Linked DNA regions of Macaca fascicularis. The protein of the gene in region 3 interacts with the protein of the main gene of each other region in a pairwise test. Links are inferred from orthologs where the notes say so. Each region holds a gene or a part of one and is shown on either strand. Other genes may lie near its edges.

Evidence for each region.
Region 1: the proteins of PAK5 (region 3) and UXT interact in binary tests that used the Homo sapiens proteins (3 or more experiments, as listed by UniProt). The two-hybrid records come from large-scale screens. The link is inferred for Macaca fascicularis from reciprocal best matches to the Homo sapiens genes PAK5 and UXT.
Region 2: the proteins of PAK5 (region 3) and CARD9 interact in binary tests that used the Homo sapiens proteins (3 or more experiments, as listed by UniProt). The two-hybrid records come from large-scale screens. The link is inferred for Macaca fascicularis from reciprocal best matches to the Homo sapiens genes PAK5 and CARD9.
Region 4: the proteins of PAK5 (region 3) and PSMF1 interact in binary tests that used the Homo sapiens proteins (3 or more experiments, as listed by UniProt). The two-hybrid records come from large-scale screens. The link is inferred for Macaca fascicularis from reciprocal best matches to the Homo sapiens genes PAK5 and PSMF1.
Region 5: the proteins of PAK5 (region 3) and INKA1 interact in binary tests that used the Homo sapiens proteins (3 or more experiments, as listed by UniProt). The two-hybrid records come from large-scale screens. The link is inferred for Macaca fascicularis from reciprocal best matches to the Homo sapiens genes PAK5 and INKA1.
Region 6: the proteins of PAK5 (region 3) and PDLIM7 interact in a two-hybrid assay, tested with the Homo sapiens proteins (2 studies listed by BioGRID and IntAct). The two-hybrid records come from large-scale screens. The link is inferred for Macaca fascicularis from reciprocal best matches to the Homo sapiens genes PAK5 and PDLIM7.
Region 7: the proteins of PAK5 (region 3) and CCNG1 interact in binary tests that used the Homo sapiens proteins (3 or more experiments, as listed by UniProt). The two-hybrid records come from large-scale screens. The link is inferred for Macaca fascicularis from reciprocal best matches to the Homo sapiens genes PAK5 and CCNG1.

The regions. Positions count from the first base shown.
Region 1 is NC_088395.1:47,757,226-47,761,242, forward strand, and holds the start of UXT (protein UXT), read right to left. Parts: upstream 2,801-4,017; 5' UTR 2,759-2,800; coding exon of another isoform or gene 2,547-2,758; coding exon 2,449-2,546; exon of another isoform or gene 2,440-2,448; intron 1,493-2,439; coding exon 1,411-1,492; intron 1,269-1,410; coding exon 1,201-1,268; intron 919-1,200; coding exon 811-918; intron 577-810; exon of another isoform or gene 439-576; intron 1-438. Other genes in the region: uncharacterized protein, read left to right, coding at 2,545-2,758. UniProt on the Homo sapiens protein: Involved in gene transcription regulation. Acts in concert with the corepressor URI1 to regulate androgen receptor AR-mediated transcription. Together with URI1, associates with chromatin to the NKX3-1 promoter region.
Region 2 is NC_088389.1:2,997,756-3,002,037, forward strand, and holds the start of CARD9 (caspase recruitment domain-containing protein 9), read left to right. Parts: upstream 1-1,482; 5' UTR 1,483-2,193; coding exon 2,194-2,545; intron 2,546-2,982; coding exon 2,983-3,120; intron 3,121-3,280; coding exon 3,281-3,585; intron 3,586-3,724; coding exon 3,725-3,904; intron 3,905-3,988; coding exon 3,989-4,132; intron 4,133-4,282. UniProt on the Homo sapiens protein: Adapter protein that plays a key role in innate immune response against fungi by forming signaling complexes downstream of C-type lectin receptors.
Region 3 is NC_088384.1:77,744,157-77,747,656, forward strand, and holds part of PAK5 (serine/threonine-protein kinase PAK 5), read left to right. Parts: intron 1-2,398; coding exon 2,399-3,184; intron 3,185-3,500.
Region 4 is NC_088384.1:86,264,136-86,268,414, reverse strand, and holds the start of PSMF1 (proteasome inhibitor PI31 subunit), read left to right. Parts: upstream 1-1,479; 5' UTR 1,480-1,626; coding exon 1,627-1,755; intron 1,756-4,279. UniProt on the Homo sapiens protein: Plays an important role in control of proteasome function. Inhibits the hydrolysis of protein and peptide substrates by the 20S proteasome. Also inhibits the activation of the proteasome by the proteasome regulatory proteins PA700 and PA28.
Region 5 is NC_088376.1:112,833,676-112,837,252, forward strand, and holds INKA1 (PAK4-inhibitor INKA1), read left to right. Parts: upstream 1-1,322; 5' UTR 1,323-1,452; coding exon 1,453-1,503; intron 1,504-1,847; exon of another isoform or gene 1,848-2,236; coding exon 2,237-3,034; 3' UTR 3,035-3,077; downstream 3,078-3,577. Other genes in the region: UBA7 (ubiquitin-like modifier-activating enzyme 7), read right to left, coding at 3,352-3,481. UniProt on the Homo sapiens protein: Inhibitor of the serine/threonine-protein kinase PAK4. Acts by binding PAK4 in a substrate-like manner, inhibiting the protein kinase activity.
Region 6 is NC_088380.1:184,426,789-184,429,079, reverse strand, and holds the end of PDLIM7 (PDZ and LIM domain protein 7), read left to right. Parts: intron 1-1,011; coding exon 1,012-1,132; intron 1,133-1,219; coding exon 1,220-1,335; intron 1,336-1,471; coding exon 1,472-1,558; 3' UTR 1,559-1,791; downstream 1,792-2,291. UniProt on the Homo sapiens protein: May function as a scaffold on which the coordinated assembly of proteins can occur. May play a role as an adapter that, via its PDZ domain, localizes LIM-binding proteins to actin filaments of both skeletal muscle and nonmuscle tissues.
Region 7 is NC_088380.1:170,164,212-170,168,196, forward strand, and holds the start of CCNG1 (cyclin-G1), read left to right. Parts: upstream 1-1,185; 5' UTR 1,186-1,396; intron 1,397-2,815; coding exon 2,816-3,079; intron 3,080-3,985. UniProt on the Homo sapiens protein: May play a role in growth regulation. Is associated with G2/M phase arrest in response to DNA damage. May be an intermediate by which p53 mediates its role as an inhibitor of cellular proliferation.

The DNA.
Region 1 (4,017 bases), on a different chromosome or scaffold from region 3:
ACTCTATGTTTGTACTACTCTAGTCACCTGGGATATAAACCAAAGCTCCCCCTTTGTAAAACTTACATTCTAATTGGAGGAGACAATATGAGAAAGCAAGAAATTACACAGTAAATATTAGGGGGTGATAAGTGTTAGGGAAAAAAAGTAGACGGAGGGGAATCAAGCATGCCAGGGGCTGTGATTTTAAAGTTAGGTTACAGAGGGCCTCATCGAGGAAGCGACATTTAAGCGAGATGAGTGAGGAGAAAGGAAGCCATGTGGGTACTGGGGAAAAGGGCAGTGCAGGCAGAGAGAACAGCTACGGCAATTGCCCTGGGGTGGGATCATTCTTGGGGTGCTGAAAGAAGCATGTGAAGGTCAGTGTGGCAGGAACACAGTGAATGAATAGTAAAATTAGCAGGAAGTGAAATCACAGGTAACTAGTTTTCTTGTTACCAACTCTAACAGGCTGAGACCTCATGGATCTGGTCATAATTGTATTTATGTATAACAGTATAGTCCTTCTAGATTTTAAGCCTTCAAGGAACTCTTCTGTCTTGTTCACTGCTGCATTCCCACTGCTAAGCACAGTGCCTGGCATACAGAAGATTCCCAATAAATGTCTGCATGAATGAACGATACAAAGATCATTTTTTGAATGCTTATTATGTGCTATACATGGGCTTTGCAACCACATTTCTTCAGCCCCAGCTCTGAGGAGGAGGGGAGATGAGTCCTTAAGTATCATTCTAGGCAGCCATGGGGAAAGGGAGAAGAGTGTTGGAAATGGTGGTATTTTTACACACTATCCTCATGGAATGGACTTACTCTGTGAGGAGAGAGCTCTTACGATCAATGAACTTGAGAGCTTCTGCCAGTGTCAACTCCAGGAAAAAACCATATCCCAGGGCCACATAGATGCGTGAAGTATCTGGGCTGAGGAAAGAGAGGTTAGAGGAAGTGCGGGGGAAGTCCTTATCACTGTTTAGCAGAGTGTATGTTTTGCTCCCCACCCTTCCCCAAATTGAGGCTCTGGGAAGGCAGGGATTTTGTCCTATTTTATTCACTGTCACATCCCCAGCGCCTAGCTTATATCCTACTGGGATAATAAACCTTGTATAGTGCCTGGTACATAGAAGATACTCAAAAAAATATATGTTGCATGAGGGAAGGGGTAAGCTGAACCCTGTGGGCTCAGAGGGGCGGGTAGACACTCACACCACTGTGTCAACGAAGAAGTTACAGCCCAAATCCACCTGCATGTATAACTCCGAGTGCTTAGCTTCCTGTGGGGCCAGGGAAAAAGAGGTAGGGGTCAGTGGTGAACTCTTAGGTCAGGTGACAGGTTTGGCTCTGGAGTCTCTCTTCCCATTTCCCTCCCTTACCCACACACACCAAAAAAATGATACCCAACCCCATAGTCTTTACCTGGAGTCGCTCAATGACATTTCTCAGTTGAAGGTATTTGGCCAGCTGCTCATATACCTTGTCTCGATGGTCCAGCACCTTTCTGATGGGATGAAAGTACAATGGTGACCAATAGGCAGCCCCATTCCTCCTAGTATACCTCATATCATGACCCTCTGAGACTCTCACGTCACCATACGCTGAAAAGGCTTTTTAGTGTACAAGTTAATTTTGGGCTCTGGGTCAGACTGCCTGGGTTTGGATCTGGGCTCTGTCCTTTATAGATGTGTGGCTTTGGCAAGTAAGGAACCTGTTTGGGACTTGGTTTCCCCATTTATAAAATGCAGATGACAGTATTACCTTGTAGAGTCATTAGGATTAAATGAGCATTTACTCAAAGCATCTAGAATAATGCCTACCAAATGGTAAACTCTCTACATGTTAGCTATTATTACTATTACTACACTCCCAATACTGAACTCCAATCATAATGTCCCATCCTCACCCTAGAAAAATCCTCCATCCCTTTTAGGATGCTCATAGTCCTAGTTCTGAACACCTTACTTCTTGCTTAGATTAACAAAAATTGCAATAATATTTCTTCATACTTAACCTCTACTATGTTTCAGGCATCCATGCTACTAAATTATTTACAAAGATGGGACATATGAAAAACTCAAAACCACTGTATGGGGAAGGTTCCAGAAAACTCCCCATTTCACAGAGAAGTTTATAGGGCACAGAAAGGCGAGGTATGACGTATTCACAAGGATGAAGAATGGCCGAGCCAGGATTCGAACCTGAGAACTGTGGCTCCAGAAAACAAGCCCTAATCCGTCAAACATCGGAGGCCGCGCATGCGCTGACACGCCCCCTGCTATGAACGCCACGTCCCAGCCAAACTGCACCCCGGATATCATCACCACTTCACGCTCCAAGGAGCGCGGGGCCGGACTCTGAACGCCTCGCCCACCAATCCAAAGGGTTGGCCCTAACTCTGAACGCCCCACCCACCACGTGGAATGTTCCAGACGCCCCGCCCTCTGCACTGTCACTCACCGCAAGTCCCGCTGCAGCACGTCACTGATGAAGGTCTCGTAGCGCAGTACTTTCTCCCCCGTGGCCTCCACCGCCCGCCGCTTAGGGGGCGTCGCCATGATGGGCTCCTGGGGAGTGGGGAGGGGGAAGACCACGTTGACCGCTCCAGTTTGGCCTCACACACAGTTCATCTCTACCCTCTCAACGCTGGGAATCGACTTGTCCGGCTCAAGCTGGGGGCTCAGCCTTCCGCCCCTCCCAACTCGGGGACCCGGCCACCCAGGGACACCGAAGCGCGGCCTTTACCTCAGGGCCGCCAGCAATAAAAACGGTTGGTAGGAACCGCGGCTTCCGGGTGGCGCGGGTGAATGACGTAAGTGGCAAGCGCGCTGGCCAACCAAATAGCCAGCTGGGGAAGACGGGCCAAAGGGGAGAAGAGAAGGGCGGGGCTTCACGGAATCCGAGGAGATCAAAGATGACTAGGGCGTGGGAGCAGGCCATCTGGCAATAAACCGGCCAATGGGGGACTGCAAAAGCGGCGCGTGGAGCCTATGGAGACCGTGCGTCGCTGGTGAGGGTGGGATTTAATGGGATTTGGCGGTTCTAAGTTAGGCGCGACGCACAGGTAGAGGTAGAGAGAGGAAGTGAAGAGTTTAATATTTAAAAGGACCTAAGAATTGACTATGGTTCTGGTCTATAAGGAAGATCCCGTGTGATCTGTCGGCTTGGATATTGATTTGTCATACGGGAGGTTTGGGTTTCACTCCTGGCAATGGGACTGAGTATGAGCACTTAAAAGGTTTTAAACAGAGACAGATTTTCTAAAATTCATCTTTGATAACTCCAGCTCTGTACCTGCAACCTATAACTGAGGCTCAAGCGGAAATTGACAACGCACTATATCTAATCACCTCGTTTGATAGTCAAATGGAGAGGGTGGCTGAAGTCCTCTGCAGAATATTGGCCATCTTGTAGTTAGGCATAGTTCCCATGTTTTTATTTAAATGGTAAGGTTTTTGTGAATTTATTCTTATGCACTAGAGTGACTGAGTGAATTTGTTTTTCAGTTTAGATTTTTTTTTTTTTAAATTATACTTTTAAGTTCCAGGGTACATGCACACAACGTGCAGGTTTGTTACATATGTATACATGTGCCATGTTGGTGTGCTGCACCCATTAACTCATTAGGTATATCTCCTAATGATATCCCTCCCCCCTCCCCCCTCCCCACAATAGGCCCCGATGTGTGATGTTACCCTTCCTGTGTCCAAGTGATCTCATTGTTCGGTTCCCACCTATGAGTGAGAACATGCAGTGTTTGGTTTTCTGTTCTTGTGATAGTTTGCTGAAAATGATGGTTTCCAGCTGCATCCATGTCCCTACAAAGGACACGAACTCATCCTTTTTTATGGCTGCATAGTATTCCATGGTGTATATGTGCCACATTTTCTTAATCCAGTCTATCACTGAAATGCCTTAAATTCAGGTTAGATTTTCAAACAAGAACTTATAACCCAGCAAGAATGGGCCTTTGCCTGGAGAAGAATCCAGACCATGGGATGAATCTCCAAATGCTATTTCCATCTATAG
Region 2 (4,282 bases), on a different chromosome or scaffold from region 3:
CCCAGCCTGCAGGGATGAGGCTCCAGCAGCCCCCACGCCGAAGTGCACAGTTCAGGGCAGACTCTGCTGCCCGTCGTCTGTGGATGGGGGGCGGGCTGTGCCCTGCCATCACCGGTGCTTCTGAAGCTGGTTTGGGGGACCCTGGGAGTGGCCTCGGTCCTCACGTGCATCCTGGAGAAGAGCAAGGATGCCTCGTGACAAGGATAATGATACCGAGCGACACTTCTGAAAGGGACGCTTCTCCCCCGTGTGCAGCTGGGTGGTGGCCGGTGCCATGGCCCCTGGCAGGCTGCAGTGGCCTCCTGGGCTCCATAAGGTGGGCTGCAGCCCTTTCATGACCAAGGCGTGTGCTGGGCATGCTGTGTGGCTGTGTGCCCCCCTGCACATGCCCTGCCCCGCTGTCCTGAGATGCCGGCGAGGGCAAGGGTGTCCGCACAGGGCAGAGCATGCCCTCCTGAAGAAGCCTCCAGAAACCTATGACCAGGTCAAAGCGGCTGGGTGCGGTCTGGCCTCGTCCAGCCTCCTGGGGGTCTCTGCTGTCTCTTCTACTTGCCAGGTGCCCGGGCTGGGCCTCTGGGGCATTCTCAGGACCCCTGGCCCCCGGCCAGGCTGGGAGGGCTGAGAGCAGTTTTCCCGTGGAGGGCAGAGGACTTCCACTTCCGTCTGCCTCTCGGGGCCTCCTGGGCTGCACGAATCAGAAGGCAGGCCACCAGGGACTGTCCCCCTGTGGGAGGACTGGCGGGACTGTGGAGTTAAGCCATCAGGAAGTGCACAGGCGTCCGGCACGCTCCTCCCTCCCTGCAGCCCCAGGCAGCATCTCCCCGAGGCTCCACGTCCCAGGCTCCTGGTGCGTCTGCCGTGCAGGTGGCTCCTTGGAAGACCCTCAGGTGGGTGGGTCTGGTACTTTTCTGAAAAGTGACCAAGAAGGTCGGCGCCGGCTTCGTTCAGAATCCTGGCGCTGATCCCCGCAGAGCAGCATGAGGCTTCCCACAGGCAGCCAGGCAGCCTCCGCCGCGCTGCCCCATCCCTTTCATGGCCACTGGGCGGAGACATGTTCATTTCAGTGGCATTACGGTGGCAGATGGGACCCTGCATTTCAGGCTGGGGAGGCAGGAAAGGGGCCCAGTGTTCCCAGGACTGTCCGCTGTGTGGCCGGTGTTTCTATTCAGCCCCTTGTCTGTCAAAACTGTCCTGAATGGGGTGACAAAGTACAGTGGGAAGTTGAGAAATTCTTCAAAAGACCAAGACCAAACACTTCAAAAGACCAAGTGTCTCCAGGAGTAGTGACCCAGCTCCTTTAGGCAGGAAACCAGCATTTCCCAGTGGGGCTGGAGGCTGAGGACCGGGGACCTGCGTGGGAGGCAGGACCATGTGGCTGTTCCCAGCCTTGCCCCAGTCCCAGAGGGAGTGGCTTTCAGCGGCTGAGGCTTCCACCGCGCTGGCAGAAAGGGACAGCAGTGGCTGGTCCCAACATGGGTAGTTCTCTTGTTTCAGCCAGTGGGATGGGGGTCGGGCCTCATCGGGGGCAGGAGAAGAGTCCAGAGATTGACGGGTGCCCGTCACCTAAGAACCTGGAGAAAACAGCACAGCAGCACTCCTGGCCAGCCAAGGGCAACACCGACAGCCCCTCCCAGCTTGCGGGGCCGGCGGGGAGTGACAGAGGCACGCTCCTGTGGGCAGCTCTTCCCGGCCGGTGCAGCGACCCTGGCAGCTGGGGCAGGGCTGGGTGGCCACTCTTGCATCATCAACAGCCGGCCATGGAGGAGGGAGGGCACAGCGCGGGATGTGAGCAGGCGTCGGTCAGGGGAATGGGGAAGTTCCGCCAGAACCGGCTCCCCCAGCTGCTGCCCTAGTGGGAGGGTCATTGGCCAACCTGCTCTCACCCAGCTTGGGCTGGCCGTAGTGCCAGGCAGGTGCCCACAGCTGCCCACCCGTGGAGGTGGCTGCCCCTGTAGGCTCCAGGGCGTGGTGGGAGTGTCCAGGAGGCGGAGGCCAGAGGCGAGTCATGCCGTGGAGGCCGTTCCTCTCTCAGACCCCATCTGTGTCTCCCCCGCTGCATATCTGGGTGACACGGATGGCCAAGGGGCAGGAGCAGGGGCTGGGAAAGGCTGTGGAGGGGCCCTCGGCTGGTCTGGCGGGGAGCGGGTCACTGTCTCTGCCGCCTCCCTGGGGGATCCAGCATGGGGATGGGACATGGAGCCGGGTACCTCTCCTGGATGCCCCTGGGCTGACCCCCTCGACAGCCCTGACGAGAGCCCAGGCCCAGCGTCTGAGAAGGAGCGGGAGCCGGGCCTGGGTGGGGGCAGGAGCCGGCGTCACTCTCAGCGGCTGCCCCACACCCCCCAGCCTGCCTGCGAGGCCATGTCGGACTACGAGAACGACGATGAGTGCTGGAGCGTCCTGGAGGGCTTCCGGGTGATGCTCACGTCGGTCATCGACCCCTCGCGCATCACGCCCTACCTGCGGCAGTGCAAGGTCCTGAACCCCGACGATGAGGAGCAGGTGCTCAGTGACCCCAACTTGGTCATCCGCAAACGGAAAGTGGGTCAGTGCTGCCCCGCAGGCCCCAGGCCCCAAACCCAACCAAGGAGCCCGCTTGGAGGTGGCTGCACGCTCTGCCACCCTGACCCTCGACCCCAGGAGAGCCCCGCCTGGCTTTGCCCCTGGCGTCCCAGTGAGGCCCAACCTCAACCCTGGCACATGGCCACCCTATCCCCCAGCCTCTCCTGCCAGCTCGGTGCTGCCAAGAGGGGCAGTGGGACTCCCACCACAACGGGGGCTCCTGAGACAGCCAAGGGATGGGTGGACAGCACTTTGTCCCCAGCCTAGTACCAAGACCCACAGGGTGCCTCATCCACGACCCAAACCACAGCACACCTCATCTACATCCCAGCCTCCATCTGTCCCTGCCCCCGGGCCCACCCACCCCAGCCCTCTGCCTCGCCTGTGCCCCGCCCCCAGTTAGGCCCCTCTGGCCCGCAGGCGTGCTCTTGGACATCCTGCAGCGGACCGGCCACAAGGGCTACGTGGCCTTCCTCGAGAGCCTGGAACTCTATTACCCACAGCTGTACAAGAAGGTCACGGGCAAGGAGCCGGCCCGTGTCTTCTCCATGATCATCGGTGAGTGACGGGGAAGGCGGTGGTGGGGGCGGGCAGTGGTGCTGGGTCCTCTGCCCAGGCCCCATCCCTAGGAGCCCTGAGCTCCTGCCACAGCGCAGGGCGTGATAGAGCTGGGCCACCGGGGAACACAGGCACCGTCTAACGCTGGCGCGGCCCACAGACGCGTCCGGGGAGTCAGGCCTGACTCAGCTGCTGATGACCGAGGTCATGAAGCTGCAGAAGAAGGTGCAGGACCTGACCGCGCTGCTGAGCTCCAAGGATGACTTCATCAAGGAGCTGCGGGTGAAGGACAGCCTGCTGCGCAAGCACCAGGAGCGGGTGCAGAGGCTCAAGGAGGAGTGCGAGGCCGGCAGCCGTGAGCTCAAGCGCTGCAAGGAGGAGAACTACGACCTGGCCATGCGCCTGGCACGCCAGAGCGAGGAGAAGGGTGCCGCGCTCATGCGGAACCGTGACCTGCAGCTGGAGGTGCGCCCACTGCCCCCGGGGAACCAGGCCCCCCTTGCCTGGCCTGGTGGGGTCTGCAGGCTGGGGCGGTCGGGGGTGGCCCCGTGGGTCCGTTGTCACCACCTGGAGGGGACAGCCGGGCTCACCGGACCTTCCGCAGATTGACCGGCTCAAGCACAGCCTCATGAAGGCCGAGGACGACTGCAAGGTGGAGCGCAAGCACACGCTGAAGCTGAGGCACGCCATGGAGCAGAGGCCCAGCCAGGAGCTGCTGTGGGAGCTGCAGCAGCAGAAGGCCCTGCTCCAGGCCCGGGTGCAGGAGCTGGAGGCCTCCGTCCAGGTGGGGCCGCAGGCAGGGCGGGTGCAGCCCGGGCAGGACAGCCGGGGCCTTCCCAGCCAGGCCATTGCCTTTTGCCCCCTTCAGGAGGGGAAGCTGGACAGGAGCAGCCCCTACATCCAGGTACTGGAAGAGGACTGGCGGCAGGCACTGCGGGACCACCAGGAGCAGGCCAACACCATCTTCTCCCTGCGCAAGGACCTCCGCCAGGGCGAGGCCCGACGCCTCCGGGTAGGAGGGCAGGCAGGGCGACGCAGCTCCTGGGGGCCAAGCCACGCTGGGTGGGCTGAGCTCCGCCCACTCCGTGCCTGGAAGGTGGGGCCTGGGGACTCCTATGGCCTCCCCCCACATCCCAACTGGCCTGACCACATGCTCCTGAGC
Region 3 (3,500 bases):
TTGGGTCCATGTTTTTTACTGTTACAGAGCGAAGTTACAGGTAAGTAACGAAATGGCTAGAATGAACTATGTGGTACTTGATCAGATTCAGAGACATTAATATGGATTTATGCTTAGGTTAATATAGATGCAGATGGACAGATATAATTATAGGTGTGTGAGTGTATTCATGAGTTAGTCTACAAACATATTATTTCGGAGCTCTGTTTGCTGAGGCCTGGCAGTGATACCCAGTAGCAATGAGTATTCCCGGAACCAAATCTTAATTTCTAATACTGTTGGGGTTCCTTGGAGAAATGCCTGATTTGGGGGGAAGGGCAGGGAAAATAAAAGATAAACCTGGAGCTTCTTGTAGTGACAGAAAGTCAGGAAGTGCTCGAAAAATAAAAGGAAGAGGGATTGTGAAAGGGACACAGCAGGCAGCCTGAGAGAACTCTCAGTGACAGAAGCTGGAACCACTTGAGCAGCAAGGCAAATAACATAGTTTTGGCTTATAACCCAAAGTATAAAATAAATAACCATGAGTCCATCCATCCTTATAGATAAATAGATAATTGAATAAGTAGGTAAATGGGAGCAAATAAGCAAGTCTGTGCAGAATAATTCCAACTACTTTATATAGATACCCCGCAACATACACACACACACCCCAGAAGACAGAGCTTAAATCCCTGCCCTTTGAGTAGAGGCTACACTTATTGACTTGTTCCCAAATAATACAATATATGGAAAGCTAGGGGAGGGGAGTGGGACAGTGTGTATAAGAAACCTGGCAAATACGACCTCACCCAGGTAGTCAGGGCTAACATCATCATTACTAAGTCATGTCGATGTTATGTACCCTGAACATCATGTGATGAAATGTGACTTTACTCTCTGGTCTTCCTCTTCAAACCAAATAACCTCTGTTTAAACATGGGAAAAACACAAGAAAACCCCAACTGAGGAACATTCTGCAAAATACCTGACCAGTACTCCTCAAAACTGTCAAGGTCATCAAAAAATAAGGAAAATCTGAGACACTGTCAGAGATCAGAGGAAACTCGGAAGACAACAAATAAATGTAACGAGATATCCTGGATAGAACTCTGGAACGCTAGAAGAAAATTAATGAAATCTATAGGAACATGGAGTTTCCTTAATAGCAATGCAAGATATTAACAGAAGGGGAAACTGGATGAGAAGTCTATGAGAACTCTGTATTCTCTTTGCAACTTCTCTGTTAATCTAAAACTATTCTAGAACAAAAAATGTATTTGAAAGAAAAGGGTATAGAACAAAAGCATTAGTCCAGGACTCTGAGAGAAAAAAAAATAAAGCCTCTGTTTCACCATGGATAGATTTATAAAACATCAGCTCCAGGAAAACTTTGACTTCCTCCTCCAGTTTGAAGTCTTCTATTGTACCATCCAAGATGGTTTTGAACTCCTTGCTAGTTGCTCAAAGGTATTTTTCTCCTAAAATCCTGGAAGTCTGAAGTCACAACACTTTGTTCTTTGTTCTTTTATCCACCCCCATCATATTTTCCTGCGAATCCTGTCATTGTCAAGGAACAGCTGACGGTTTTGTAAGTGGTTTGCGATGTCTTTCAGTTCCTGGTATTCTTGTGTTATTTAGGTTCATTAAAGGGAACAATTTGTCACTAAGATCCAGGTGCAACCATCATTACTAAGCCACCCAAAATTCAGCGATGATGTTACGCAGAAGTGTGGCCAGAGCAAACAAGCTGTATAGTATAAGTATATATACTTAATAAGAATATCACATTTCATCATAAATCACACAAATAATCTTCAGGCTGTTTCCTAATTACAGTTTCAAGAAGTGCCTTCCTCATCTATAAAATTTCATAACCTCAGTTATTATGTGTCTTCCATATAAGGGTAAAAAATGTACACCCATTTCTAGTTATGTTAATACTTGGGCGACAATGCCTTCTGGTTTTGAAAATCATCTGAATAATGAATGTAAAACAGTAATAAATATTATTTTTTATTACCAAACAGTTATAGAGTGTTAAATTGTAATTATCAGCTCATCTATAGATGGTTGGGGCTTATTATTTAGGTAGAAGAAGCAGGGGGAAGGGATTTGCCTGTAAACTGGTAAATGAAACAGTGAGAGCCTATGTAGTCTCGTACATGGCTTTTTGGTGGTTAATTGATGTCTCTATTGAGATAGGTAGGAAGAAAATTGCAATTTGAGATTATTGTCTACTATTTCATTTATTTCACCACTACAGTTAATCAACGATTTTTTCTTTGTCATTTTGTATTAAGTGTTCCTGGGGTCTTTTTCCTTCTGTAGTTTAATTTGGATGGAGTGGGGGTGGGATGCCGCCGTCAACTTAAAGTCATGAAATATTTTCCTCAAACAGTATTCCTTTTATTATCCCCAGACAATCGTTAGAGGAAACAAACCCTGCAAGGAAACCTCCATCAACGGCCTGCTAGAGGATTTTGACAACATCTCGGTGACTCGTTCCAACTCCCTAAGGAAAGAAAGCCCACCCACCCCAGATCAGGGAGCCTCCAGCCACGGTCCAGGCCACGCGGAAGAAAATGGCTTCATCACCTTCTCCCAGTATTCCAGCGAATCCGATACTACTGCTGACTACACCACCGAAAAGTACAGGGAGAAGAGTCTCTATGGAGACGATCTGGATCCGTATTATAGAGGCAGCCATGCAGCCAAACAAAATGGGCACGTAATGAAAATGAAGCACGGGGAGGCCTACTATTCTGAGATGAAGCCTTTGAAATCCGATTTCGCCAGATTTTCTGCTGATTATCACTCACATTTGGACTCACTGAGCAAACCAAGTGAATATAGTGACCTCAAGTGGGAGTATCAGAGAGCCTCGAGTAGCTCCCCTCTGGATTATTCATTCCAATTCACACCTTCTAGAACTGCAGGGACCAGCGGGTGCTCCAAGGAGAGCTTGGCATACAGTGAAAGTGAATGGGGACCCAGCCTGGATGACTATGACAGGAGGCCGAAGTCTTCGTACCTGAATCAGACGAGCCCCCAGCCCGCCATGCGGCAGAGGTCCAGGTCAGGCTCGGGGCTCCAGGAACCGATGATGCCATTTGGAGCAAGTGCATTTAAAACCCATCCCCAAGGACACTCCTACAACTCCTACACCTACCCTCGCTTGTCCGAGCCCACAATGTGCATTCCAAAGGTAACGTTTGCTACCTCCTTTCCCTGAAGTGTACAAAAACCTCCACAAGGGTGGTGCTGGGATGATCTTTTTATACGATCAGATTGCCAACTACTTGTTTGCCTTTTAAGGGAAAATTAATATCAAAACCCACCCTGTCTCCACTTTTGAGGCCCCAGGGCAGAAGATTTAGGATAAGGCATATATATTCATTAAAATCAAAACCTATCTTTTGGGCCCTCCTACCTGGTTTCTCATTAAAAGGCAAATAAACTTATTTATTTGAAAGATATTCTGATATATGAGTGATAAATATGATGTGACTGTATTTCACTAA
Region 4 (4,279 bases), about 8.5 Mb from region 3:
AAGGTCATTGCAGGTATAAAGGGGATGGGAGGACAGTTGAAGGAGATTGAATCAGAGAGGTACAGGACTGGCAGGGCTGGGGCAGGAGGTGGCAGACCACATGCAGGTTCCTGCAGACCACGGGGAGGACTTTACTTTTCCATTGAGCGTGATGGGAACCCTGTGAGATTTTGAGCCGAGGGATGTGATCTGACTTGTTTTCTTTTTTGTTTTTGTTTCTTTTTTGAGACGGAGTATCGCTCTGTTGCCCAGGCTGAAGTGCAATGGTGAGATCTTGGCTCATCGCAACCTGCACCTCCCGGGTTCCATCGATTCTCACGCCTCAGCCTCCTGAGTACCTGGGACTAAAGGCGTGCGCCACCACGCCCAGCTAATTTTTGTATTTTTAGTAGAGACAGGGTTTCACCATGTTGGCCAGGCTGGTCTCAAACTCCTGACCTCAAGTGATCCACCTGCCTCGGCCTCCCAACGTGATGGGATTACAGGCGTGAGCCGCCACACCCGGCGGATCTGACCTGTTTTCTAACAGAATCTCTCTGGTTGCGAAGTGCAGTACAGAGAGAGACAGGAATGGAATGGGGCAGTTCCGAGGCTGATGCCAGGCGTCCAACTGAAAGATGACAGGAGCTTGGACCAGGTTGGTGACTGGGATGGGGAAACTAAATTTATTTGGGTAAAAACAATAAGTGGATTTCATGAAACTTGTTGACGTAATGGGTGGTAAAAATCATAAAGGGGGTAGTCAAACAAATGATTGAAATTTGGTAATGGGTCAGGAGCTTCAGCTCTGCGGGCAGCAGTTGTGTCTTCTTGGAAAAATGGTTTCAACTCTCAGCCGTTTTGTCATCTGCAAAATGGGGATAATAATGGTACATCATAGAGTTGTTGAGAAGGTGATGTAAAGGTTTTAGTACAGGATGTAGCACACAATAAACACTTAATAAATGTTATCTTAGAAGCCAGACTGCTAGGTTCCTGTAACCATCTCAGTCATTCACCGGCTGGCTGTTGTCACCTTGGTCAAATTAGCCCTCTGTGCCTCAGTTTCCTCATCTGTGCAATGAGGCACATTAATCGTTAATATCAACTGCATAGAGTTGGGTTGTGAAGATTAAATAAATGAATACAAGTAAAGCATTTAGAATAATGTGGCCGGTAGTAAGCACTGCGTACGTATTAACGATTATTAAGAATGTATTTTAGCCACATTTCCCAGCCCCTTCCCCGGCCTAGCATAACCCATTTTGTGCATGGGAAGTCTAGCTTTCAGCAAGGTGGCCTCTTGGAGGGCGCTGTGCTTGCGTGAAGCGATCCTGTCGGCCGCGGCGAAGACCCAGGTTCCGGCTTTGAGGGGCCTCGCCCCGCGCGGTCCCTGGCGGAACCTTTTACTTCTGCGCTCGCGTTGCCAGCCCGGCGCGCCTCACGCAGTTGCGCCCGCTCCTGGGGCTACTTCCGGCGGCCCCGCCCCGCCCCGCCCCCGGGCGTCTCCATCTTGGTCTCAGGTGTAGACTCTGCCAGAGCTAGCGCAGGAGTGAAGCGGAGTTATAGCTACGTCGGCCGCGGAGCTGGCTCACTGCACTACCCCCTCCCCCTTCTCTCCTCCAGACGCCGAAGTCGCTGGCGCTCATGGCGGGCCTGGAGGTACTGTTCGCATCGGCAGCGCCGGCCATCACCTGCACGCAGGACGCGCTCGTCTGCTTCTTGCATTGGGAAATGGTGACACACGGCTACTACGGCTTGGGTGTCGGTGACCAGGTACGCCACGGAGCCGGCCAGGGTGGAGGAGGGAACTGTCTTCTGTCCAAACTCAGAGGCCCGGAGGCCTGGTCCAGAGCGCCCGATTTCCCCGCCTTTCCCAATGCAGGGCCTGGGGCACATGACAGCGTTGGTAAAACCTGCGGGTCGGAGGTTGCTCACCTGCTCCAACCCAGCCCAGAGTCCCTCACAGCACAGCTGGCACAACATGATTTGTAAACTCAAGGGCAGAAACTCGCTTCAACACAGCCTGGCAGCCTCTCAGGCCAGGACTGTGTGGACCTAGCATTCCATAGAATGGAAAAGAATCCAGACGAGTTTAGCTCCCCAGAGCACTCCTCACCCACCTAATCTCCTCTGAATTCCTTCCCACCCAGCCTCGGGGTGAGGGGACTGACTCAGTTCCCCCCTCATACCACACTAGAGCCTCCACCAAACATCTGGATCCAAGCACAGGTACGGGAGTGAGCTTTGACCTACTCAGCCCCAGGCCACGGCCCTTTTTTCACCCCTTAGCATGGGCCCAGAGAGTTCACATGCCTTTCACGCTTTACTGAAGGGCCCAGCGTAGTCCACTCGCTACTGCCATCCCCAGCTCAAGCTCTAGGAAACAGTCCCCCCTAGAATCGTATACACATACAGCCTGGATGTGAGAGTCATATAAGATTTTCTCCTCATAGCTGTCCCCATAGGGCCAGCCCCCTCCACTCCCATCCCCAGGCTCCACCTCTTACACCTAGGGACGTTGTTGTCATCCCCACCGAGTTCCAGGACCGCTGGGCCCAACCCACCTCACTAATTCTTTGCTCTAGCATTCTTCTGTCTTTGCTGTCTCTTCCCTGTGACCCTCACCCCCACATCCACATCATCCTAGACATCTGCTTGCTGGGACAACTGGGCCTGCCTCCATGCGTGCCCCTCACTGTCACTGTTCTCTCACTCTCAGAACCAAGACCAGCCATGGGAAACAGACCACCCCGTCACCCTTCCTCTCCTTTTTGACTGCTTCAGTCCTCAACTCCTCTAATCATTTTTTTTAGCTTCTCAAATAGAGTCTTAATTCTCCTCTCCTGACACAGCTTTAGGGACCTGTCTTCAAACTTGTTTTGTACATTCTGAGCACTTAGGCAAGTATCCCCTTTCCCCTCCCCCTCACTGCTGTCCCTATTCCTCTCTGTCTCTTAGAACTAAAGACCAAGACCACGATACCCCTCTCACACTTTACCTCCTTCAGCAGGAACCAGAGCCTAAGAACTGTCAGGGATTTCTGGCTCTTCCCCTGCCCGCCCCCGACCTCAGTTATCTCACTGGGACCCCAGGTACACACTCAGGATCCCCATTCCCACCTCCAAACTCACACATACTTCATCTCTCAAATGGGCTCTATGACTGGAGATGAGGATGGAAAAGAACAGCCAGCCTTTCACACACACACACCTGGAAGCAGGAACCATTTCACCTTCCCAAACACATCTGTCCCTGTCCTTTCTCTTTGTGCTGCCCTTCATTCCACATACCTTCCAAATGCCTTTCAGCATTTCAGACCTTAGTACCAGGTAGAGACACATTTCAGTGTCAGGCTCCTGTTTCAGTGCATAGTCCCCCTAACAGAAATCTTGTCTCCCCACTTGTCCTACTCCAGCTTTTTAATCTTGAGCAGCTCTTCACTTGCCCCAGTCATTTTATTTCAGCTTTTCGTAGATTCTTCAAAGAAACTGATATCTGGGATGGTGCAGGGGACAGTGGGGCTGAGAAGAGGAGTAAGATTTGATTTTGACCTGGGAGCTCCTCCATTGGCCCTCAGCTCTCTTGTCCTTCAGATGGAACAGCTGTGCTCTGCACTGTCCCTTCTCATGTACCTCACTCCCCTTACATACCCCTAACTAGCTACTTCTACTCTGCCACACTGTCAGAACCCTGTCCACCTCTGCTCCGGAACTTGTTCTAGAGGGTGTGCCTGATGCCCTTCTCTTCTTGCCATTCCACAAATAAATATCAATCGCTGTGAATCTGCTCCCACCATTCTTACCCTCACTCATCCTGTTGAATCACTTTGACAGTTTGGGAACATCAGTTCACATAAGTCGACACCTTCTTTTAGCTGGCATTATCACCTTTCCATACACTCAAGGCTGCAAAATTTTCGGATGAAATGTACAGAAAGAATACAATCTCATTTTAATACTGTTTTTTTCTGTTGTTGTTGTTGTTGTTGTTGTTTTTCCAAAAAAAAGGCCTTGACCAATTCCCCAAGGTCCATCTGATTTTTCTCTGTTCATGGTGCTATTTTTTGAGCTTCTGCAGGCCAGAAAAAGATGCTGGTTTCAGAAATCTTTGGGGAGGCCCAGGACCCTGGGGAATGGGGTTTTTGTAAGGCATTGCCACCTTTCTTCCTGAATCTTGCATGCTCTTGAAGGAATGGGTGTTTGGATTGCAAACTAGAGCGTGGTGTATTTTTGCTTCTCTCTGCCTTTTCTCCTTGATTGCCAGTGGGGCTCAGGTTGCACTTGTCCTCCTGTCACTT
Region 5 (3,577 bases), on a different chromosome or scaffold from region 3:
ATCATTGGATTTTCCTCTCCAAATCCACTCTTCTCCAGTCTTTCCCAGATCAGTTTATGGCAATTTCATCCAACCAGCTGTTAATGCCAGAAATGTAGGAGTCATGCTTGATGCCTCTTTTCCTGCCCACATCCATGCATCAGCAAGACTTGATTTTAGCTCCAAAGCATACCCCAAAGTGACCCCCCTTCAGTGCACCTGCCCTGCCCAGGCCTAGGCCCTCCCCTTCGTTGCCTGGATGACGGCAGGGGCTTCCACTCTTATTGCAGAATCCTTTTCTGAAAGCAGCTGGGATTATCTAAACAAGAGCTAGCCCAGGTCATTCCTGCTCAGAGGCCCCCATTGCTCCTCATCACACCAAGAACAAAACCCACATTCTGCTCTAAGGCCGTTAGAGTCTGGTTTTGCTGACCTTTTCCCTTCTGCCGCCACCACCAATCACAGACACCTGGGCCTTCTTTATGTTTGGCCCTGTCCAGCTCCTGTCCCTCGGGGTCTTTTCCCTGGCTGCTCCTTCTGCCTAGAATGCCCCTCCTCTTGATTGCATCCTGATGTCACCTCCTCTGAGATTGCCCTTCCCCAGGCTAGCCCATGGCCCTCCTTCCCTGGTATTTTCCTGTAGCTGGTATGTCCAGTCTGTCTGCAGCTACACTACTCTTGAGCCTAGCCTGTTTGATAGAGCAACCTCAGGAGACAGGCTCACCCCAGCACCCACCCTCAGTCTGCACCTGGTACCGGCAGAGGGCATGCCGATGGTCGCGTGTCGCCGCTGGACTCGCGACTAGCCGAGCACTCCCCACTAGAGGGCAGTCCCGTCTAGCTCAGTTGGAACGCGGCTGAGGCCCCGCCAGTGCGCTGCCACAAAGTCCCACCCTCTCTGAGTCCTCAGGCCGAACCCCACTTCCATCCTGTTCAGGGAGTGCCGAGGCCAGCCTCAGGAATGGGTCCCGTGGGTCAGGCCCCGAGTGGGCCACAACCTCTCTGGGTCCGACCATACGGGGCGCTCTGCCTATGTGCGGGCGCAGCATGACGCCCCGTGAGAGGGACCGCTATTTCACCATTGAAGAAATGGGGAGGATGAGGCCCCCGCACGGAGGCGACCTGTCCTGCGTCACGCAGCAAATGCAGGGTCCACTCAACCATCTGGGGGCTTGGGTATCCCGGGCCCGACCCCGTCCGGCTTCCAGCTACGACCCCGCCCTTCCCCACAAGAACGGCGGCGGAGTCCGGAGGGACGCCGGGTTTTAGCCCCTCCCCCTTTGGCCGTGGGGCCGGGGCGGGGCGCGGCTGCCAGATGTCGGGGCGGCGGCGGCGGGAGCTACGGAGAGCGAGGAGCCGCGCAGCCAGGCGGAGGCTGAGGGCGCCGCTGGCCGGCCCGCCCAGCCCTCTCCGCGCGGCTCCGCCGGGGTTCCCAGAGGAGCCAGTAGGCTCAGTTGGGGCCCCGGCACGGACATGCACAGCGCTCGGCTTGACAGCTTCCTCAGCCAGCTCCGCTGGGAACTGGTGAGGCTCGGGAGCGGGTGCGGTTAGGGAGGACGCGTGCGGGGTGCCAGGCTGCTGCCCGGCCGGAACAGCAGACGGGTGCGGGGTGGCTGCAGCGTGCCCGTCCGAGGCGGGATGGGGGCGGCGCGGGGTGGGGGCGGCGCGGCTCATATGGCTCAGATGGTCCGCGTCGGATTTCGGAGGGTTGGGAACTGCGCTGAGCATCAGATAACAGCATCCAGCTGGCCGTGCTGCTGGAACGGCGCGGGAGGAGAGAGTGGAAGGGGAACTTCTTTGGGGGTGGGGCATGGGGCGGCAAGGGACTAACGAGGTGCTAGCACTGCTGTGAACGCCCCCTACTTCAGGCTGGCCTATGCCTCCCTTCTCCACCCCTCACCTAGCAAGCGCTCTTTCTGTGAAAAACGCTTTGGGCTTTGGAAGCTGAATCCCCCTCCAGTCCTGGGCAGGACCTACTTCCCTGCTCAGGCCCACAACACTGCCTGCCCGCCCGCCCGCCCTGGTGGCGGGTGTCGACTTGCCCAGCCCTGCGTGCTGCAGCCTGCCGGACTGCCACCAGGTCGGTGAATGAGAACCACACCAGCTTCGAGTGCCAGCACCCCACGCCTGCCCTGTGCTCACTAGCACCCTGCTGCCCAGGCCAGCAGGCCTATCTAACCCTCCTGGACCCTCTGTACTCTGGGCTGACCTGGTGACAAGTGATACCTCTCTGACTTCTGCCCTCTCTTCCCCTCAGTTGTGTGGTCGGGACACAGGCTCACCCCCAATGCCTGGTCCCCTGCAGCCAACCCCCCAAACTGGCCCAGATGTGCAGCCCCGCCACCAGCTTAGGGCCTCAGGTGCCTTGGAAGAAGACTCAGTCTGCTGTGTGGAGGAGGAGGAAGAAGAGGCAGTGGTGACAGAAGACAGGGGTGCAGCCTTGGGAGGCCCCAGGGAGCATGCCCTGGACTGGGACTCTGGCTTCTCGGAGGTGTCAGGCAGCACATGGCGAGAGGAAGAACTACCTGTTCCCCAGCGCCCAGCACCCTCAGCACAGCCCCTTCGTAGGCAGCGCCTCTCAGTCAGTGGCCTCCCCATGCCCAGCAGGGCCCCTGTAGCCAGTGTACCACCTGTCCACCGTCCACGGCCCAAGTCCACCCCAGACGCCTGCCTGGAGCACTGGCAGGGACTGGAAGCAGAGGACTGGACAGCAGCCCTACTGAATAGGGGTCGCAGTCGCCAGCCCCTGGTACTGGGGGACAATTGCTTTGCTGACTTGGTGCACAACTGGATGGAGCTGCCTGAGACAGGGAGTGAAGGAGGTGATGGAGGTGGGCACCGTGCCCATGCTCGGCCCCCCCAGTTCCTGCTTGGCCTCTCCGAGCAGCTTCGGCGCCGGCTGGCCAGGGCTCGGCGGACAGCTATGGCAGGAAAGCGGCTGTCATGCCCACCTCGCCCAGAACCTGAAATGCCTGCGGATGTCTCACGCTTCGCAGCCCTCATGAGCTGCCGTAGTCGCCAGCCCATCATCTGCAATGATGTCAGCTACCTCTGACCCTGCCCTCCAGCCTGGGACAATAAAAGCCTTTTTTCTAGACTGTCCTGGCTTCATACCCCTGAGGCACTAAGAGGCAGCCCCAGCCCTGTGAGGCACTGCCCAGGCAGACAAATCTGAAGAGCTTTTTGTCTCTGTGTGAAGGTCCCTGTCATGCCCATGTCACACCTGTGTGCATTAGTGCACTGTGTTCTATCATCCATCCTCTCCACTATGCCTTCCTTCAACAAGCATTTATTGAGTGCCTACTGTGGGCTTACAATGCAGTGCTTGGGATCCAGGGCTCCATTGAGCTAGGTGATGGGGTGGCTGCCTTGTCACAGCTCATAGTGCAGAGGTGGAAAGGCAGTGTCTTCCTCTTCACCCTCACAGCTCAGCTCCAGCACCAACACCCGCAGCCCAGGAGCAAGTACCTGGCCTGTCACCTGCTGAACCAGTTCTGTCACCCTAGTGGGGGTGGGGTTTAGGGGAGATTGGAGAGGTGAGCAGTGGCAGGCAGTGGGCAGCCTGGCATGGACTAGAGAGGGTGCTGGCAGGCCATCA
Region 6 (2,291 bases), on a different chromosome or scaffold from region 3:
CTTCTGGGCCTTACGTTTTGGCTGGAAGAAGAGGGGAGAGGCAGACAGTAAGCAATAAGCGCAATAAGTAGACTGCCTGGAAGTAATGTTAGATCACATTATGGAAAACAGGAAAGAGTAGAGCAAGAAGCGCTTGGGCGTGGTGTAGGGAAGGCAGCTGGCTGCTACTCGTGTGGTCAGGGTGGGACCTCGTGGAGAAGACTGCACTCGAGCGGAAACTTGAAGGGGGTGAGGGGTGAGCCTTGAGATATCCGGGGCAGAGCAGTCCAGGCAGAGGGGACAGCCAGTGTCAAGCCCAGGACAGGAGCGTGCCGGGTGTGCCAATTTCAGGCAAGAGGCCAGTGTGCGAAGGCAAGGTGAGAACGCAAAGGAGAGCAGTGGGGGAGACAGGTGGGAACGAGGTCAGACCTGCTGGCCTCCAGCGTCTGCATGGGGCTTGGTTCTTGCTGGGAGAAATGGGAAGCGGTAAGGGGTTTCATGCAGGGGGATACAGCCTGTCTCGGGTTGCAGGGGTTGCAGGGGCCTGCTGCGGCAGCTGGGATCAGAGGGAGGAGCTGTAGGCCAGTTGTGTGTGATCCCAGGGGCCAGATCGCTGTGGCTCACCTCACATCAGGGAGGCTGTGAGCAGCACGCAGAATCTGGATATGCCTTGGGGGTGGGCCCCACTGGATTTCCTGGGGGACCTGGTGTGGGGTGTGGGAGGAGGGTGTGTTTGGCTGCAGCAAATGGGAGAATGGAGTTGCCATCCGTGTTACGGGGATGCCTGTGGGAGGAGAGGTTTGGGGCGAGGGGATCAGGAACTGAGTACTGGACATGGCAGGTCTGAAGGCGCAGTGGACGTCCACTCAGAGATCTTGGAGTTGGAGATGGAGGCATGGGAGTCCTGAACGGTTAGATGTAGTGTTTACTATGAGAAGGAACAGGGCCCGCGGCCAGCTGCCCTGTGTTCCCGTGACCCAGGGGAGGGCAGGAGGGGCCTGAGCCTGCCGAGTGACTGGCAGCTCCTTCCAGGAGATCATGCATGCCCTGAAGATGACCTGGCACGTGCACTGCTTCACCTGTGCCGCCTGCAAGACGCCCATCCGGAACAGGGCCTTCTACATGGAGGAGGGCGTGCCCTACTGCGAGCGAGGTACCCGCTGGCCAATGAGGGTGAGGAGGGATGGTGCATGGGGCAGGCATGAATCCAGGTCCCCTTCCTCTCTGCTCCCATCCTCAGACTATGAGAAGATGTTTGGCACGAAATGCCATGGCTGTGACTTCAAGATCGACGCTGGGGACCGCTTCCTGGAGGCGCTGGGCTTCAGCTGGCATGACACCTGCTTCGTCTGTGCGGTGAGAGCCCCGAGCCTTGGCCTCAGCCCCAAGTCCACCAGCCCTCTGTTCATTGCCTGGGGGATGCAGGAGAAGCTGGGAAGGGGCCTCTACTGCTGCCCCCAACCCCATGTGACTGGGTCTTTGCTGTCCTTAGATATGTCAGATCAACCTGGAAGGAAAGACCTTCTACTCCAAGAAGGACAGGCCCCTCTGCAAGAGCCATGCCTTCTCCCACGTGTGAGCCCCTCCTGCCCACAGCTGCCGCGGCGGCCCCAGAGCCATGGCCCGGCATTTCTGGGTAGGGCTGGCAATGGTTGCCTTAACCCGGCTCCTGGCCCGAGCCTGGGGTTCCCCAGCCCTGCCCCACCCGCCTTATCCTCCCACCCCACTCCCTCCACCACCACAGCACACCGGTGCTGGCCACACCGGCCCCCTTTCACCTCCAGTGCCACAATAAACCTGTACCCAGCTGTGTCTTGTGTGCCGTTCCCCTGTGCACCCGGAGGGGTAGAACTTGAGTCACGTGGCAGGGTGGAGAGTAAGAGGGGTTTCTTGGGCTGGCCATCTTGGTGGCCCTCGTGATGCGGACGTGGCAGGCTCATGGTTAGTGGAGGAGGTATAGGCGGGACCCCATGTGCCAGGCCTGGTGCCCACAGACATGAGGGACGCCACTGGTCTGGCCTGGCTTGGAGGTTAGAGAAGGGTAGTTAGGATGGGCGTGGTGGATCATGCCTGTAATCCCGGCACTTTGGGAGGCCAAGGCGGGCAGATCACTTGAGGTCAGGAGTTTGAGACCACTCCGGCTGACATGGAGAAACAACGTCTCTGGTAAAAATACAAAATTAGCTGAATGTGGTGGGGCGTGCCTGTAATCCCAGCTACTCAGGAGGCTAAGGTGGGAAAATTGCTTGAACCCGGGAGGTGGAGAGTGCAGTGAGCTGAGATCATACCGCTGCGCTCGAGCCTGGGTGGCA
Region 7 (3,985 bases), on a different chromosome or scaffold from region 3:
TATTGTGAGGTATTAATGTTTTCTTTTGTTTTTCCTTCCCCTTCCTCCCCACCCCTTTTCCCCCTTTCCAGAGTTTTGTTCTGTGGCATTGCCTTAGGTAAGTACATGGCAGGGCAAACAGCAGAGGTGACAGCAAATCTTCCAGATTTTCACTTTGTCAAAGTAAGAGAGACTGAACTGGGGCCATGAGAACAGAGACATCCAATTACTGTGTAATTCATAAGAGTTTAGAACTGACTCCTTGTGCACCCTTTTTCAGGCCCTTTTACTAATGGACTTTTCTCACTTGTGATGATCTGGGAGAGCGAGAGTGAGGAGAGTCTAAGAAGAGTTCAGGCTAATTATTTTCCCACTAACCTGGCATAGGAGAGGTTCATAGAGATTAAATTATTTACAGTAAATAAAAAGAGTAATATTGCTTTACATTCTGTTCTGTAGACTGGGATTCACACTCACCACAATTATTCCTGATAACAGTCTGCCACCCACCTTTCATTTTAAGCAATTGAAAAATTGTACCAACTTTTCTCTTTAAATTTGCTTTAAAAGCAAATTCAGAAAATTGCTAGAGGGTCAAGAAATTACACAGTCCAACTCCATTATTTGATAAATTGTACAAAAAGCAAACTAAGGCAAGAATCAACTAACTTTCAAAGTTCACGAAGAGGGCACTCTGGAAGTTGATAAACCACCGCACTATATAAATTCCACTACCTCTTTATCTGTAATGAAAAAAATCAAAGGTTGACTTTTTTTTTTTTTTAACTACTCACTGTATTTTTAGAAAGATGGGGCAGAACCACTGTAGAACTCCTAAACCCCACAGAACAAACAGTACATTCTGGAATGATACGCTGGCCAATCCGGCTGGCAGCCGATTGACCTGACCCAGGCAAGGGTTGGTGCATAGAGTATTTAGTTCGGCCCCCTACTGAATGAAGACACTTTGTTAAATTCTCCAATGAGAGACGCTTAGAGGTAGGGGCGTGGAAGAGGGCCGGGGAATTTGACGCCAGATAACGGGAAGTGTGAGCTGATTGGCCGGGCGTCTCACTCCACGGCCCAGCCTTTTACGGATAGCGGAGGCCATCCATCAAAAGAATTACACCAATCAGAGTTGAAAATGCCCCCTTCTCGCGAGAAAGCCCCGCCCTCCAATATATTCCTCTGCAGGGCAGGCGCGGCCCCTTCGGCTCCGAGCTGACCCTGATCAGGGCCAAGTCGTCTCGGCTGCGCTGCCGAGACCTCCACCCAGGACAGCGCCCCCTCCCCGGGCCTCTCTCCTCTTGCCTACGAGTCACCTCTCCTCGTAGGCCTCTTGGATCTAATATCGTGGGGTGAGGGGAGCAGGCCCGGGGAGGGTGGTTACCGCTGAGGAGCTGCAGTCGCTGTCAAGGTGAGTGGGACTGCGCGGGGGTTGACCGCCAGGTGCGGGTGGGGAGCGGGGTTGGGGACGTGGAGCGAGGAGTAGGTCTGGCCCGCGCCCTTTTCCGCAGTTAACTCTACCGCTGCTGTGAGCACAAGCCCAGGCTAGTCCGGGGCTGGAGGGGCGGAGCCGGATCCGGCCTCCTGGGGTGCCTTAGTGTCTGCCGGCCCAGTCCCAGGGAGTAGCCAGGGGAGGAAGAATGGAACCCCTGCAGTTAGAGGTTCCTCACATGACCAACTCTGAAGATCTCCGCCTTCCTGTCTTTAGGTTGGTGTGGGGAGGGACCTTCCGTGTATCTAGGGCTTAGCTTGTGCCCGGGACATGGTTGTGTTATGCACACTTAAATCAATGGAATTCCCAGGTTCACCTTTCAGACTAGGTTAGCAACACCCACCGCCCCCCGCCCCAGTGCGTGCTCTTAATGCCACCTTTTAAGTTTCCTTTCCTAACAACAATAAAAGTTGACTAATATTGAGTATTGTATGCCAAGAACTGTGCTATACTCTATAAGTGGTGAATCTTGTTCAGTCTCTTCACATTCAGCGACAGATATTGTTACCCTCATTTTATAAATCTAGAAATAAGCTCAAGCTCATTATTGTTCAGTGTTTTTTAGGCACCTACTATATGTGCTAAGCTCTTTACGTGATTTCATTTAGGTCACACAAATCTGTGAGGTAGGTCATAAACCTTATCACTACTTTATAAATGAGGAACTAAGTACAATTAGGTAACTTGAACCGTTCATGTTGTTAAAATGTGGCAGAATACTTAACTACCATCTGCTTTTCACTTTCGGTATCCTGTCTTACGGTGATTATTCGTGGTTATCTATTGACAAGGTATAAGTTGAACAAGTATTTCTTGAAGATTTGCATTTTATTTTTCTAAAAAGCATGTTTCCGGCCGGGCGCGCTGGCTCACGCCTGTAATCCCAGCACTTTGGAAGGCGGAGGCGGGCGGATCACGAGACCAGGAGATCGAGACCATCCTGGCCAACAGGATGAAACCCCATCTCTACTAAAAATATAAAAATTAGCTGGGCGTGGTGGCGCACCCCTGTAATCCCAGCTACTTGGGAGGCTGAGGCAGGAGAATTGCTTGAACCGGGGAGTCGGAGGTTGCAGTGAGCCAAGATCGTGCCACTGCACTCCAGCCTGGCAACAGAGCGAGACTCCGTCTCCAAAAAAAAAAAAAACACACATTTAGGATGTGACCAACTTGTAGAAGGGAAATAAATAACAGATGGCACTTTGCAATGACTTAGATGCACTAGCCGCATTGGGGGATGGGAGACTTATAAATCATTTCTTGGCCCAGTGCAAAGATGGCCAAGGAAAGCAGGAAGGACTACTTACACTCCTTTCTGGTCTTTTTTTCTATATATAGATGATAGAGGTACTGACAACAACTGACTCTCAGAAACTGCTACACCAGCTGAATGCCCTGTTGGAACAGGAGTCTAGATGTCAGCCAAAGGTCTGTGGCTTGAGACTAATTGAGTCTGCACATGATAATGGCCTCAGAATGACTGCAAGACTAAGGGACTTTGAAGTAAAAGATCTTCTTAGTCTAACTCAGTTCTTTGGCTTCGACACAGAGACATTTTCTCTAGCTGTGAATTTACTGGACAGATTCCTGTCTAAAATGAAGGTATGTTTGAAGCTACACTTTTGTAATTTTGCTCAGTGTGTTTTGGAGATGGAATTGTTACCTTTTGGCTGATACTCACAAACTTGACCTTTTTTATTTTCAGCACGTAGCCAAAACATTAATTTTGTCTACTACAGCATTAATATGATTTCTTATCATAAGAGTACATCAGGTATTAGACTTAAATTCTGAAATGAAAAATAGTCTAATATCAAGTAACTAATTGCAGTTTCCTAGTAAGAAAATTGGCTGTTTTTAAAAAACCCTTCTTGATAGGTTGGATTTGTCCATTTATTTACTATTTTTAGATATAAACAAATGCATTAGTGGCAGATATTTATTAGAGGCTACATTGTGGCTAAGAATATACTTCTTAATCACTACCCATATATAAAATTGTAAATGTTATAGCCTTAGACCTAGTCAAGACTTGCTTATGCTTGGCATTTCCAGCTTCAGTGTACATGCAGTGGGGAAGAGAGTGTATCTGAAGGAGCAACTATTTTTCTATACTAGATAAACAAGACTATGTCACTTTCAGAGCTTAACTGTTACAAATGCATCTCCCTTTCCCATACACCTATGGTCACTGGAAGAAAAAAAGATATGTGGCAATTAGAAGGAAACTCATATTTTAGTCCTTGGTATCTAATACAGTGTATCACAAGAAAGGACTTCAATATTTGTTGAAGATTCAAGAAATTTGCTTCAATAGACTAATTAACCTCTTGACATTTCACATGTGTAGTTACTACCTTTGAATCTATAAATGTTACATAAATGAATAATATGTAGCTGTCCCCTCAGGTATAATTCAGTCTAATGTGAGAATAAGATCATTGCTCTTATGTACAAGTCATAGTAAGAAAAGTAACTACCTTATTCTTTGAAAGAGGTATAAGTGTA